Oryzias latipes: one gene and its partners. The protein of the gene in region 1 purifies or fractionates together with the protein of each later gene. This does not show direct contact. Links are inferred from orthologs where the notes say so. Each region holds a gene or a part of one and is shown on either strand. Other genes may lie near its edges. The genes, in order: usp13, smc3 and bag6.

Region 1 (3,650 bases):
TGTAGGCCAGCCCTCTCTAGCCATTGGTAGGACTTCTTGATATCAGCCACTTCAGTTATGGTCCGGTGGTACATCCCATGCAGGGGTTTGTCCTCCCATGAGGATCTGTCCTCCAGCACTGTATCCTCTGCTCTCCATTGCCTGAGACATTCACTGAGCACACTGTCAGTTGGGGCCTTGAGCTTGATGTACTCATGCATCTTGGATGTTTCATCCTGGATAGTGGCTTCTACGCTCACTAGTCCTTGGCCTCCTTCCTTGCGGCTAGCATACAGTCTCAGGGTGCTGGATTTGGGATGGAACCCTCCATGCATGGTGAGGAGCTTTCGTGTCTTAACATCCGTGGTCTGTACCTCTTCCTTTGGCCATCTTATTATTCCTGCAGGGTATCTGATAACTGGCAGTGCGTAGCTGTTTATTGCCCGGGTCTTATTTTTGCCATTGAGCTGGCTTCTCAGGACTTGCCTTACCCGTTGGAGGTATTTAGCTGTTGCAGCTTTCCTTGTTGCCTGCTCCAGGTTGCCATTTGCCTGTGGAATTCCTGTGGGATATATATATATATACATACATTTTGTGTGGTTCTTTGAAGGCTCTTTGAAGTGTGTGTAGTACTGAAAACACCCAGCAGAGGTCACTACTAGACTGTAGTAATAAAATCAAATGCCGGAAAATTACTGTCAATGGTAACGGTCACGCCATACATAGTAGGACGATTTGTTCAAAAGCGCACAAATGATTAAGAAAGTTTGGCCTCAATTACAAAAGGGGTTTATTCAGTCACACCTTTGGTTTGTCTGAAGATTAATAACCCCTCTTGTTAAAGTAAAATATGTCCAACACAAGAGGCCCTCAGCTCTCATCTGCCTGCCTAGCTGTTGGACAGAACAAGTTAAAAAAAAAAAATGAAAAAAAAAGAATAACTTATTAAGTATTTCTTGAGGGGTTTTTGTTTCACACAATATTTATTTACCTCTGTGCAGATTTAACCATCGATGTTCCAGATTTCTTGGATCTGAGCCGGCTCCGAGCCACGGGGCTGCAGGCAGACGAGGAGGAGCTGCCGGACCTCATGCCTCCCATAGTTCTGCCTGAAGACACCAGAGGTGCCTGCTACACATTAAATGCCCTCATTTACCATGTTTTCCTAATCTTTTATGACACTTTTAATACACCAGAGGCTAATTTTTTAAACTTTTTCTCCTTTCTTTTGCTTAATGCTCCACATGGGCTATTTTTTTAAATCTCCTATTCTCCCATGAATGACTGGCAGTGGCCCTTCAGTGCTGTTAGTGACAATGTTTGAACATGAACTAATGTAAAGCTGGGCTCCTATTTACTTATTTAATCTCTCCATTATTCATTGTTCCGTTTTGTTGTCATGGTAAAAGGGCAACATTTCCCCTGAGCGCCAGTGCTTTGGTTTTCTAGAATACGTCCCTCCAAAGATCTTTTTGAAAAAAGGAAATGCACATGTTTAGTTGAAATTGCTGCAGATTTTTCTCATCAGGTGTGAAATATTTCTGAGAGTCAATTCATCAGTGAAAGTGTCTTTAATACGAATGTCTCGTTTTGGAGAATAGAGAAACACTAACACAGTTCTTAAAACTTTGTCATGGGGTGCATTTGTTTTGTAATCTTTTTGAGATTAAATGCCCTTTATTTTTTAGTCCCTTATTGTAAAAACCTTCAGTTTCCTTTGTTGCTACATTTAGTCATCCAAATATTTCATATTGATGACAACATCTCAGAAGAGCCTTTACTTCTGCCCCACAGGGCGGCAATCTCTGCTTTTAAATAGTTAAGGCAACAACAAAGAACTAGTGAAAGTGTGTGTCTGATTCAGGACTGAACAGCATGCGTCATGTGTGCTATCTTAGAAATGCAAACCCATAGAATGCCATTTTAAGTGGAGCAGCCACTTAAAGTTATTGGGTTGCACACATTGACTGTTTAGGACAACTGGCCTGAGTGACTTCCAAACAGGAAGTACTCCCTGACTCCAAGAAGCCAAAATAGACTTCTGTTGAGAAAAAACAGCATTATATTTGTCAAAATAACCATTTTTATCTGCCACCTTTTTTAAACATGTTTTTGCTAATCCTAATGTGTTTTTCTTGAACGACTGTTTTTAGGCTCTGTGTACCAAACGCGGTGCCATCAAGCACGTGTTGCAAGTAAAACCAAGTTGAACTCTAAACAATCAAAGACACTGATTTGATTGTGGCTCGTGGATGGCGTCTCTTTTAATACATGGAAGTGCTAACCGTTTTTAAAAATTGATCATAGAAGACAAATTGATAATTGCGGTTTTTGCCTGGAATTATACATCTTTCGGATATCAGAATAGAGCTGTAACAGAAAAAGACAGAAGTAAAATTCCGGAGATTTTGCACAGCTTCAACTTTTCTCACCGAGCCTTTTCCAACTGTAGGTGGCAGACATGCGCTGTAGCAAATGAAGATGCCCCTACCTGCTTGTCCAGTGTGAACACCATAAGCTAAACATGTGTTCGAGAACCCCAATTTAATACGTTCTTTAACATGCGTTGCATGCCCGGTGTGTAGCTTAATACATTCAATGGTTACACATTACTGTGGGGCCAAAGCTGTTCTGCATATCGATACATAAACATAAATAATTATTGCAGTGAAATTCAATTCAATAACACTTGTCAAAATGTTTTTTTAAATTTTATATTCAGTCACACTGTAGGTGAATTTCAATTGCAAATCCGCTGCTTCTGTTTCAATTAATATGAGGTTAAAGTCTCTCTATTTGTTCAAATAAAACTGTGTAATGAAAGCGCTTGGAGGTAAATGATTTGTAGTTTTTCTATCTCATTCTCAGGTTTAATTGTTTTGCATCTTTTTTCCCGTGGTTGCAAATCACCCATTGGTCCGTTCTCCCCCATCTGGCATCAACCCAAAGGCATCAGACCCTTAAATGTGTTCACTTGTATCACCTCATTGGTTTTGTTTTTAATGCTATACTATTGTCTTATTCCACACTTTAAATAAGTAACACATTTTTTCCAGGCTTTGACTTCCTCTCATCCTTTCAGATTAAAGTACTAAGTCACGTTTAACAAGACATGTAATGTGATTTGTCTTTTTCAACTTCTTTTCCCTTTCTTTGAAATGAATTACCTAAAATTACATAATGTGGAGCTGACTTAATCAGTTCCTTAAACTGGGTGCAGATAAAAGGATCTGTGAGACATTACTCACACAAAGAATAGGAGCCACCACTTAGCCATTTGCAGAACATGTTGTTCTCTGGGTGAGAGCAGAAAATAAATCATCTTCATCGAGTCTTTGCAGTCATAGTGTTTTCCATGTAGAGTGAGAGTTTTTGTGCCAATAGGATTATCTGAAGTTGAGTTTTTTTTATTTATTTTTTTGGCAATTGACTTGTGCCCATTTTTTGTTTCAGCCTTGAAGAAACTTTTGCCAATTTAAAAAATTAGTACATGGCAAGAGTTTGGGATATTTTCATAAAGCCGGCGTGCTGCTCCTCCGCTTCATGCTGAGTTTGTTAGCAGACTCTCATCCTCGCTGTAGAGACCTAAACAGCTTTAAAAGTCGGCATGGCGCACATGTGTCCAGCATGGCTGCATAACAACCTGCAGCTCTGGTAACTGTTTTGTACAC
Region 2 (4,249 bases), on another chromosome or scaffold:
GCACCCCTCTGAGAAACCAGGGTTCGTTTCCCAAGTGTTGCCATGAGCTTCATCCAGTGTGGGTCCTAAGACCCTTCGCCCTACTGCCTAACTACAAGAGGGGCCAGGTCTCCCTGTGCCTGTCCCCAGCCCGGACAAAGTACAGGGTTGTGTCAGGAAGGGCATCCGGTGTAACAATCTCTGCCAAACCACCTGTGAGACTCCCTGAAAGCTGATTGGCTGTGGCGACCCCTGAAGGGACATGCAGAAGAGTGAACAACAACAACACATACTGAACCGCATCCTGAATCATGGGGAGAGATTTTAGTTTATGTATTTCAAACATGTTATAAAAACAACAATAGATACATTCATACACTCGCTGATAACTGTAGTCAGTCACTCAAGAGGTTTTTTCTAACAGAACTCAAGCAAAATAAAATGTTGGAAAAGCAGAAAGCTTATTAAAGCCTACTCCTTTATACCCACTGAACTTTGACAACAAGAAAACATGGAGTCAGTGCATCACATGTTCTGTTAATTGTAGATTACATGTAAATGTACATTTACAGTACTGCTTAGTAATGGCCAACTGGACTTTTTTATTGTTACTTTCTTATTAGAAATTTTTAAAACAGTTTTTCTTCCAGAATCTTTCGTTGTTGTTTTTTAATATACAACTATTGAACCGAAACAAAACCATGACCAAAAAATTAACGTTTGAACCAAATTGTGAATCTTTGTATCCCTAATATAGAGGAGAGATTTTTCTCCCTCTCAATAATAGGCCTGTGTGTGTGTGTGTGTTTGTGTAGGCCTTCATGTTTTTTGTGTGTTTATGTTACAGAAACCATGTAAACCAAGAGTTTTGTAACTTTGTTTGCCACGTTGTACAAAACCAAACAGCCCAAGCTAAGGATAGTAATGAGATAGCAAAATATTTTCCTTTGCTCTACAGTATTGTGCATAAATTCTCATGAATGTTGATAGTATTTAGTTACTGTGACTGTACGTTTGTGACATGGCTCTTCTATATCTTCATCCAAAGACCAAGATAAACTTTTAGGCCAATTTGTTCAAACGGGTCATTTTAAAAATAAAAGTATTTTACTCTTGTAATCACATGTTTTCTTAATGTGAGGAACTGGCTTCAATAGTTGACAGTTACCGGCTGAACGGACATCGTCTACGGTAGTTATGCTTGAATCAGGAGGAAGCGTCAGCGCGAAGCTGCGCTTTGGCGCCCAGAACGTCAGAGGCAGAATGTACCAACTGTGACGGGAAAAAGATTTACACGTTTCACACGTTTAACAGTTCACACAGAAAAAAAAATGTACATATTTCAAAGAAAAAAATTATATAGACATTCATGCTACTGCTCGGGTTTGTCCAGGTCCTCGAATTCAGCCTAACATCTTTACCACAACCCTATTTTGACATAATGGAACAGGCCTTTCCATCCCGCCCCCGCCGCCATTTTCCATGTTGTTCTGTTTTGGTGAATTCGTTTCATTTTAGTTGAATACAAACGTTTATCTTGTAACATTTGATTAGTAAGATTACCGGAATCTTGGGTTTGGTGGAGAGGAGTTTAATCTCCAGCGTTTTTCCAAGGAGACGCCGTGTTTAGGCAGCCATGTATATCAAACAGGTAAGTCATCCACTGGGTTTTTGTCTCTGCAGTGCTGCTGCTTACTTTCCCTGGTCTGGCAACAAGGCGCAGGGAACACAAAACATCTTTATACTCCCGGTCTGTAGTCTTTAATAATGTAGATATTTATTTTCTTAATCAAGCAAGCCCATTAAATGCACTCAGACGGAACTTTTAGTATTTAAATAGGACTGGACGCCCCCCTTGCCGAAGCTAAGCTAATGCTAATTTTTGTTAGCGCGGAATTGAATCCATGCGTGAATTAAGCCGAACAAAATAACATTGCGCCCACGTTTTTAATGCATATTGTTCCCCTCATACCGTACATAAACTCGCCCTCTGTCTGGAATAGCTCACAAGTTTTAAATGATAGATTTAGCATTAGCCGATGAATCCATCGCTAGCCGATCCCGGCTAGCCGAGGCCTTTTGACGGCATGTATCATACATACTACGGCATATGTGGGTGGTAACTGCTGTGGTCTGGTGCAGGTCATCATTCAGGGGTTCCGAAGTTACCGGGACCAAACTGTTGTTGATCCATTCAGCCCAAAGCACAACGTCATCGGTGAGTCTGTGCTTCATCATGATGAGTTTTGGAACACATGATTTTCCCATGTGAGTATATTTGTCTTTCTCTAAAACATGGTTCTCTCTCTCTCTCTGTTTGATTTTCAGTTGGAAGAAATGGGTCTGGAAAAAGTAACTTTTTCTATGGTATGTGGGCTTCATTTACAAAGTTTAGTTAGTTTAAATCTTTCCATTGTAGCTAAATCCAAACCTTTTTGCCCCCCGCCCTAGCCATCCAGTTCGTCCTCAGTGATGAATTCAGTCATCTGCGGCCTGAACAGCGTCTGGCCCTTCTGCATGTAAGTATGATGTCGAATTTTACCACCAGATGATTTCTGACCAACCTTTTTTTTTGCATGTTAATGGAGTCATTCTTGCTTTGTTTGTTTTCTCTCTCATGGCCGTTCTCCCCGTTGCAGGAAGGAACTGGTCCACGCGTCATATCAGCTTTTGTGGAAATTATTTTTGACAACTCTGATAACCGGCTGCCGGTAGGAAAGCCTTTTCATCCGTTCTATTTCGTTTACATTTTGTATTTTTAAACTTTGGAACTTTTAACATTCCAGTCGATCAGTTTTTGCTTTAAAAGCTGGTTTTCAAAGAAAAAAAAGATTTGTTTTTATGGGCTGTTCAGAGTTTGGTGCAGGTCTGCCTTCAGTCACCAACATTTTTTCTAAATGTAGACATACAGACCTAAAGAAAGTAGAATGTTACCTGTTGATCCAAATATATGATTGATGTATTTTAGTGTTTGTGACACCTGCAGTGAGTAACCATAGAAATATTTAAAAGCAGCACCAAAGTATTTGTCAGTCACAGATTCTGCAAGCTGTCCCACATAAAAATAGACTTTGGATCTGTATCATTCGTCATAGACGCAGTTTAACTGTGTGAGACAGAATAAATAATCCAGGAAACCACATTGTTTAATTTTTACAGATTTTATTTGTACAATGGAGCAGAAAATAAGTATTTGATCAATAACTAAAGTTAACCTCAGTACTTTGGGAAGTAACTTTGCTTTTCCAGGTTTGCATTATTTAACAGCTCACAGGCCTGTTACGTCTGTAAAGTCCCACTCTGATCATCATCTGATCTGTTTTCAAAGCGTTCTCGTGGTCTTTTTATTATGATGATGCATTCTTTAGGCAAAAAACCTCTGTTGTTTTGTACGTCATAGTTTCTGCAGAGCGGCAGGAGTTCATTAGAAATTCACCTCTAAATTGTGGGTGGGACTGTTTGGGTGGAGCACCCCCCCTTCCCTACCTTCCCCATTGCTCAGAGCAGGGAGTTTGTGGCCCCGCCCAGCGTATTTTCTACGTCACAAATACAATCCTTTTACAACTGCATTTCTTCGTCTGCTCCCCGGATTCACAACGATGAGAATAAAAGACTCAGAAATGCAGTTTTAGTCCTAATTTTCTTTATGAATGTCCCCGTCATCAGAAATATACCACAAGAACATTCTAAAAACACCATTTTCATCGCAGTGGGTCTTTAAGAAGCTCTCGTTATTACTCAGATTACTTATTAGAACAATATATAGAAACTTTAAAATACTGGCAACCTGCCTCCACCTGTGGCCCCTTAATGGTCTTATTTATTTGTCTTTATATCTTGTTAATGATGATCATCGCTGATCTTTCATTTTTTAGTGGAACAACTTTCAGAATCGGTTCTGCCACTTACATATTGTTGTACTGCTCCTAACATGAAAGGGATTCACAAACATTAAAGCTGAATTATAGCTTTGTTGATCACAGACCAAGTGAGAATTTTGTCCTTTCAGATTGACAAAGAGGAAGTCTCTCTTCGTCGTGTCATTGGTGCAAAGAAGGACCAATATTTCTTGGACAAGAAGATGGTGACGTGAGTTCTTGCTGAGCTGTGACTGCTTCTGTCCCTGTTATCACAGAGAATGACAAATGTAGGATTAAACGTCTTCCACATGCTGTTGTTGCAGTAAGAACGACGTCATGAACCTTCTGGAAAGCGCCGGTTTCTCTCGCAGTAACCCATACTACATCGTCAAACAGGGAAAGGTGAGAAA
Region 3 (3,650 bases), on another chromosome or scaffold:
AATGAACTGGAGGAGTACATCACTGAGAGCTTCGTAAGTCATCACTTTACATCCACTAAGCAGCTTTCTCATTTACACTCTGGAGGCTGAACTTTAAGCTTTTTCTGCAAATTTGTGTTCATGGCAAACGTCTGAATCTACAGGTTACGACTTTGTTTAAACCCACATACGACAAAAATTCACCTTTGATGAATCCTGACTGTCACCATAAACCATTATTAGTGCCAAACTCCACCTTATTGAAATATCTAAAGCCTCAGATGAAATAATTCTATTTACAAACGTATAGAGACGAGAATCCAGAGTCAAAAAACACATTTGATCATATTTGTCATCCTCCTGACTTGGAGGTCGTTCCTGAAATTCACTGACTGTGACACAAGGGGGCGACATTCTAACAGCAGGAGGAGCCAGAGAGGATTTTTTTTTAAACTATTTCAGATAAAAGCTTAAAAAATGTTTTTGTCAAAATTCTGACTACTGAAAAACAATTTAAAGCTAAAAATAATAAATTTCGGCAGGTCAAGTTAAAGATGGAAGATTTTTTTCTCCCATAAACTGGATTTTACCTGCCAGGGAAAGAATTGGCACATAAAAAAACATGAAGTTTTCTACAGTAACTATTTATAAATCGTTTAATCTAAAGAGAGAAAAACACAAATCTTTAAAAAATAATGGAACATTTGCTGTAATTATTTTGAACAGAGTAAAATTTTTGGCAGATTTTAGACCCAAACCAACCTTCACCATGTCTGAAGGATTTGTAGCCTTTTCATTTTAACTAACAGAAATATTGAATATGTTTAAAGAAAACATCCAAATTTGCCAAAATATAAGCTAGAACTTTTAAGAGCTCAACATTTTTGTACCAGAATGGTTAAAACTGACTGAAAACACGGTGAGAACTGGAGCTTTTTCTTCAGGTGAACAAACAGTTTTCCTGGTTGTTCAGAACAGCAGCTTTCTTTGAACAGAGAGAGTCTTCAGTTGCTGTGCTGGACGAAGTGGACGTCACCCAGACCAACATGGCCTTCTTCAGACATCACCTGACCACCATCGCCACACACATCCTTCACTGCACAGGTGAGCAGCGTCACAGATTAGAAACAAAACGTTGGCGTGAATGTGAGGAAACGGCTGATGGTGGATCTAATGCCACCTCTCTGTTTTTAGATGAGACTTTTGGACCCACGCTGCTGAGGATGTGCAACCGCGCGCTCTTCGAGTGTCTCGCTCTGAACCTGCACTGCCTGAGAGGAGACCAGAGGGCTCTGACCGCCGTCATCAACCACCGGATTGTGAGTTTCCTTCTGCTGGTGTGAGAGTTCAACGCACAAGTCTGATGTTTTAAAGTGGCATCAGGTAGTTTAACCTGCAAGAACGCCGACCCATTTTTTATTATTGGACTTTGTCACAGTCCAAGTGGATCATGTGACACATTTCTGATGCATTTCTGTTACACTGATGTCACCATCTGTGTAACCTTATGGTTTAAGGTTTAGGAAATGAATAAATATGTGTCAACACAGATATCACCAGCCCAGTGATCATCAGGTTAAACGCCACTGTTTTTAGCCATAATCAAAAAACAGCATTGTCTTCAAAGGCTGAGTTTCTGCAGAGCAGCACGACTTCTGAGTTTGGGGACTGTTGGTCAGAGCTTTTAGCCCAGCCTCAGTATTTTCTATGTAGCAAATGAGCTCTTCTTCAAAGTGCTTTTTTTTTGGTCTGCTCCTGATTCACAGCGAATCATATAAAAAGATGCTCAGAAATGCAATTTGGAGCTTTTTTGTTCTTAATGTACCTCATCCATCATCAGGAAAAAAACACGATTAGAAACACTTTTCTTTAGAGTGGGTCTTTAAAGCTCTGGTTCAGATATAAATTGAATAAAAAACTAGAATGTTAATTGAAAAAAAAAATTAAAACTAGTTTGAAACTTAAAAGTAAATACTGTAAACCTTACAGAAATATTGTATGTTTGTGGAAAAAGAGATAAAAAACAAAAATTGAAAATAAAAAAACACATTTGTTACAAATAAATAAGACAAATTTTTGGTTTATTTCAATCCAAGTTTTCAGCATTTCTTCAAAAAAAAAGTATATATATATTTTTTTAATTCCAAATGGTCTTTTATTTCTTTCAAGTTTATAATGTGCACTTTTGAGTTTGTGTTTTTTAAAAACTGTTTCATTCCCGTTAAGCTGATCCTGCTGTGACCTCGTCTGTTTGCTGACGGCTCTTCTGCTTTGTTCCAGCGGCGCATGTCCACCGACATCAGTCCCAGCCTGGTGAACTGGATGACCAGCATGATGTCCATGAGGCTGCAGGTCATTCTGGAGCACAACCCCATCTCACAGGAGCAGATCCAGAGCTTCATCGTCCCCCTGCAGGTCGCTGCCACCGCCACGGCGCCACTCTCACGGCGGCCGGGTGTCGTGTTTCTGCGTAAATAATGCATTTCTTCTTCCCCAGAGAGATCAGTCGGCTGCGAGCGACACGCAGGAGCCTGAAGGAGCAGCGGTGAGTCTCGCCACAGTGTGTTCAGATGGACCGGGACCCCCCCCCCTTACCTTTCTGCCTCCTCAGATCGGGGACACTCATTCACCGGCCGCCGCCACCACAGCAGAGGAGGCCATGTCCGGGTCCCACGACATGGCAGCGCGGGAGACGAGGCCGTTGCCTGGAGACCTGGGAACGCTGGGCGGAGCTGCGCCGTTAGGCGGGGACATGGCGGGGGCGGAGGGAGGCAGCGAGGAGGCGTCAGGAGAGTCGGAGACGTGGGCTGCTTCTGTTCCCCCTGTAAGAGCGTCCCTCTGAACTCTTTGACTTTTCTGAAGTTAGTTCTCCTCTGGTCTTTGAAAGCACCAGAGAGGGAGGGGGTGTTGTTGCTGCTGTCACCCGGGTAACCCTCAGTAACAACCTGTTTGGCATCAAGTGGGCAGTAGGGGGCAGTGTTGCTCCACAGTTTCCACACGAGGAGCCTGGGACCAGAATCTGGAGAAGATGATCGGAAGTTGGTGAAGCAAACGCCAAAAAAAAAAAACTCGCTGAGGTTGATGAGCTCCAACGTGCGTTGGGAGTGGGGTCATCTGGACCCCACAAGACAGTACAAGGGCTATAGAAGCTGCAATTAGAAAAGAGATGCTGGATTCAACCTGAACTCTGTTGGGCTGCGTTGCAGGAGTGGGTGCCCATCATCAGGTGTGACATGATGACGCAGAGGAAGATGAAGGCTCAGCCTCCGCTGTCCGACGCCTACCTGAACGGCATGCCAGCCAAGCGCCGAAAGGTAGACCTCACTTTGTTTCTGTATTTTCGTTTTCATCAAAAGCACAAGTCCTAAAAGTTTGGTTTTTTTATACAAAAATAAGGCTTATAAAATAAAAAGTAAAATATGATTAGTGATGAAGCAAACTGCATAATTTGCAGAAAGACGGCTAAACACGGCACAGTGGGAATCATGGCGATCAAACCCAGAAACGGCAAACTCTTTCATTTTCTTTGTACGGTCTTCAGTGTTTTTAATAAAAATTTGTTTGTGTGTTTGCAGACGGGGCAGGGCAGCGGCAGCCTCCTCTCCCTCTCAGACGCGGTGAACCAAGCCGCCAGGACCGCCGGCGTGCGACCCATCACCTCCGCCGAGCAG

Evidence for each region.
Region 2: the proteins of usp13 (region 1) and smc3 purify together in Homo sapiens (affinity purification with mass spectrometry; 4 studies listed by BioGRID and IntAct, with this or other methods). This does not show direct contact. The link is inferred for Oryzias latipes from reciprocal best matches to the Homo sapiens genes USP13 and SMC3.
Region 3: the proteins of usp13 (region 1) and bag6 purify together in Homo sapiens (affinity purification with western blotting; 3 studies listed by BioGRID and IntAct, with this or other methods). This does not show direct contact. The link is inferred for Oryzias latipes from reciprocal best matches to the Homo sapiens genes USP13 and BAG6.

What each region holds. Positions count from the first base shown.
Region 1 is NC_019862.2:9,004,988-9,008,637, reverse strand, and holds part of usp13 (ubiquitin carboxyl-terminal hydrolase 13), read left to right. Parts: intron 1-980; coding exon 981-1,103; intron 1,104-3,650. UniProt on the Homo sapiens protein: Deubiquitinase that mediates deubiquitination of target proteins such as BECN1, MITF, SKP2 and USP10 and is involved in various processes such as autophagy, endoplasmic reticulum-associated degradation (ERAD), cell cycle progression or DNA damage response.
Region 2 is NC_019859.2:36,679,481-36,683,729, forward strand, and holds the start of smc3 (structural maintenance of chromosomes protein 3), read left to right. Parts: upstream 1-1,435; 5' UTR 1,436-1,615; coding exon 1,616-1,630; intron 1,631-2,121; coding exon 2,122-2,197; intron 2,198-2,307; coding exon 2,308-2,346; intron 2,347-2,430; coding exon 2,431-2,498; intron 2,499-2,618; coding exon 2,619-2,690; intron 2,691-3,988; coding exon 3,989-4,068; intron 4,069-4,162; coding exon 4,163-4,241; intron 4,242-4,249. UniProt on the Homo sapiens protein: Central component of cohesin, a complex required for chromosome cohesion during the cell cycle. The cohesin complex may form a large proteinaceous ring within which sister chromatids can be trapped.
Region 3 is NC_019874.2:28,127,733-28,131,382, forward strand, and holds part of bag6 (large proline-rich protein BAG6), read left to right. Parts: coding exon 1-33; intron 34-974; coding exon 975-1,083; intron 1,084-1,173; coding exon 1,174-1,298; intron 1,299-2,259; coding exon 2,260-2,394; intron 2,395-2,476; coding exon 2,477-2,524; intron 2,525-2,590; coding exon 2,591-2,803; intron 2,804-3,185; coding exon 3,186-3,293; intron 3,294-3,554; coding exon 3,555-3,650. UniProt on the Homo sapiens protein: ATP-independent molecular chaperone preventing the aggregation of misfolded and hydrophobic patches-containing proteins.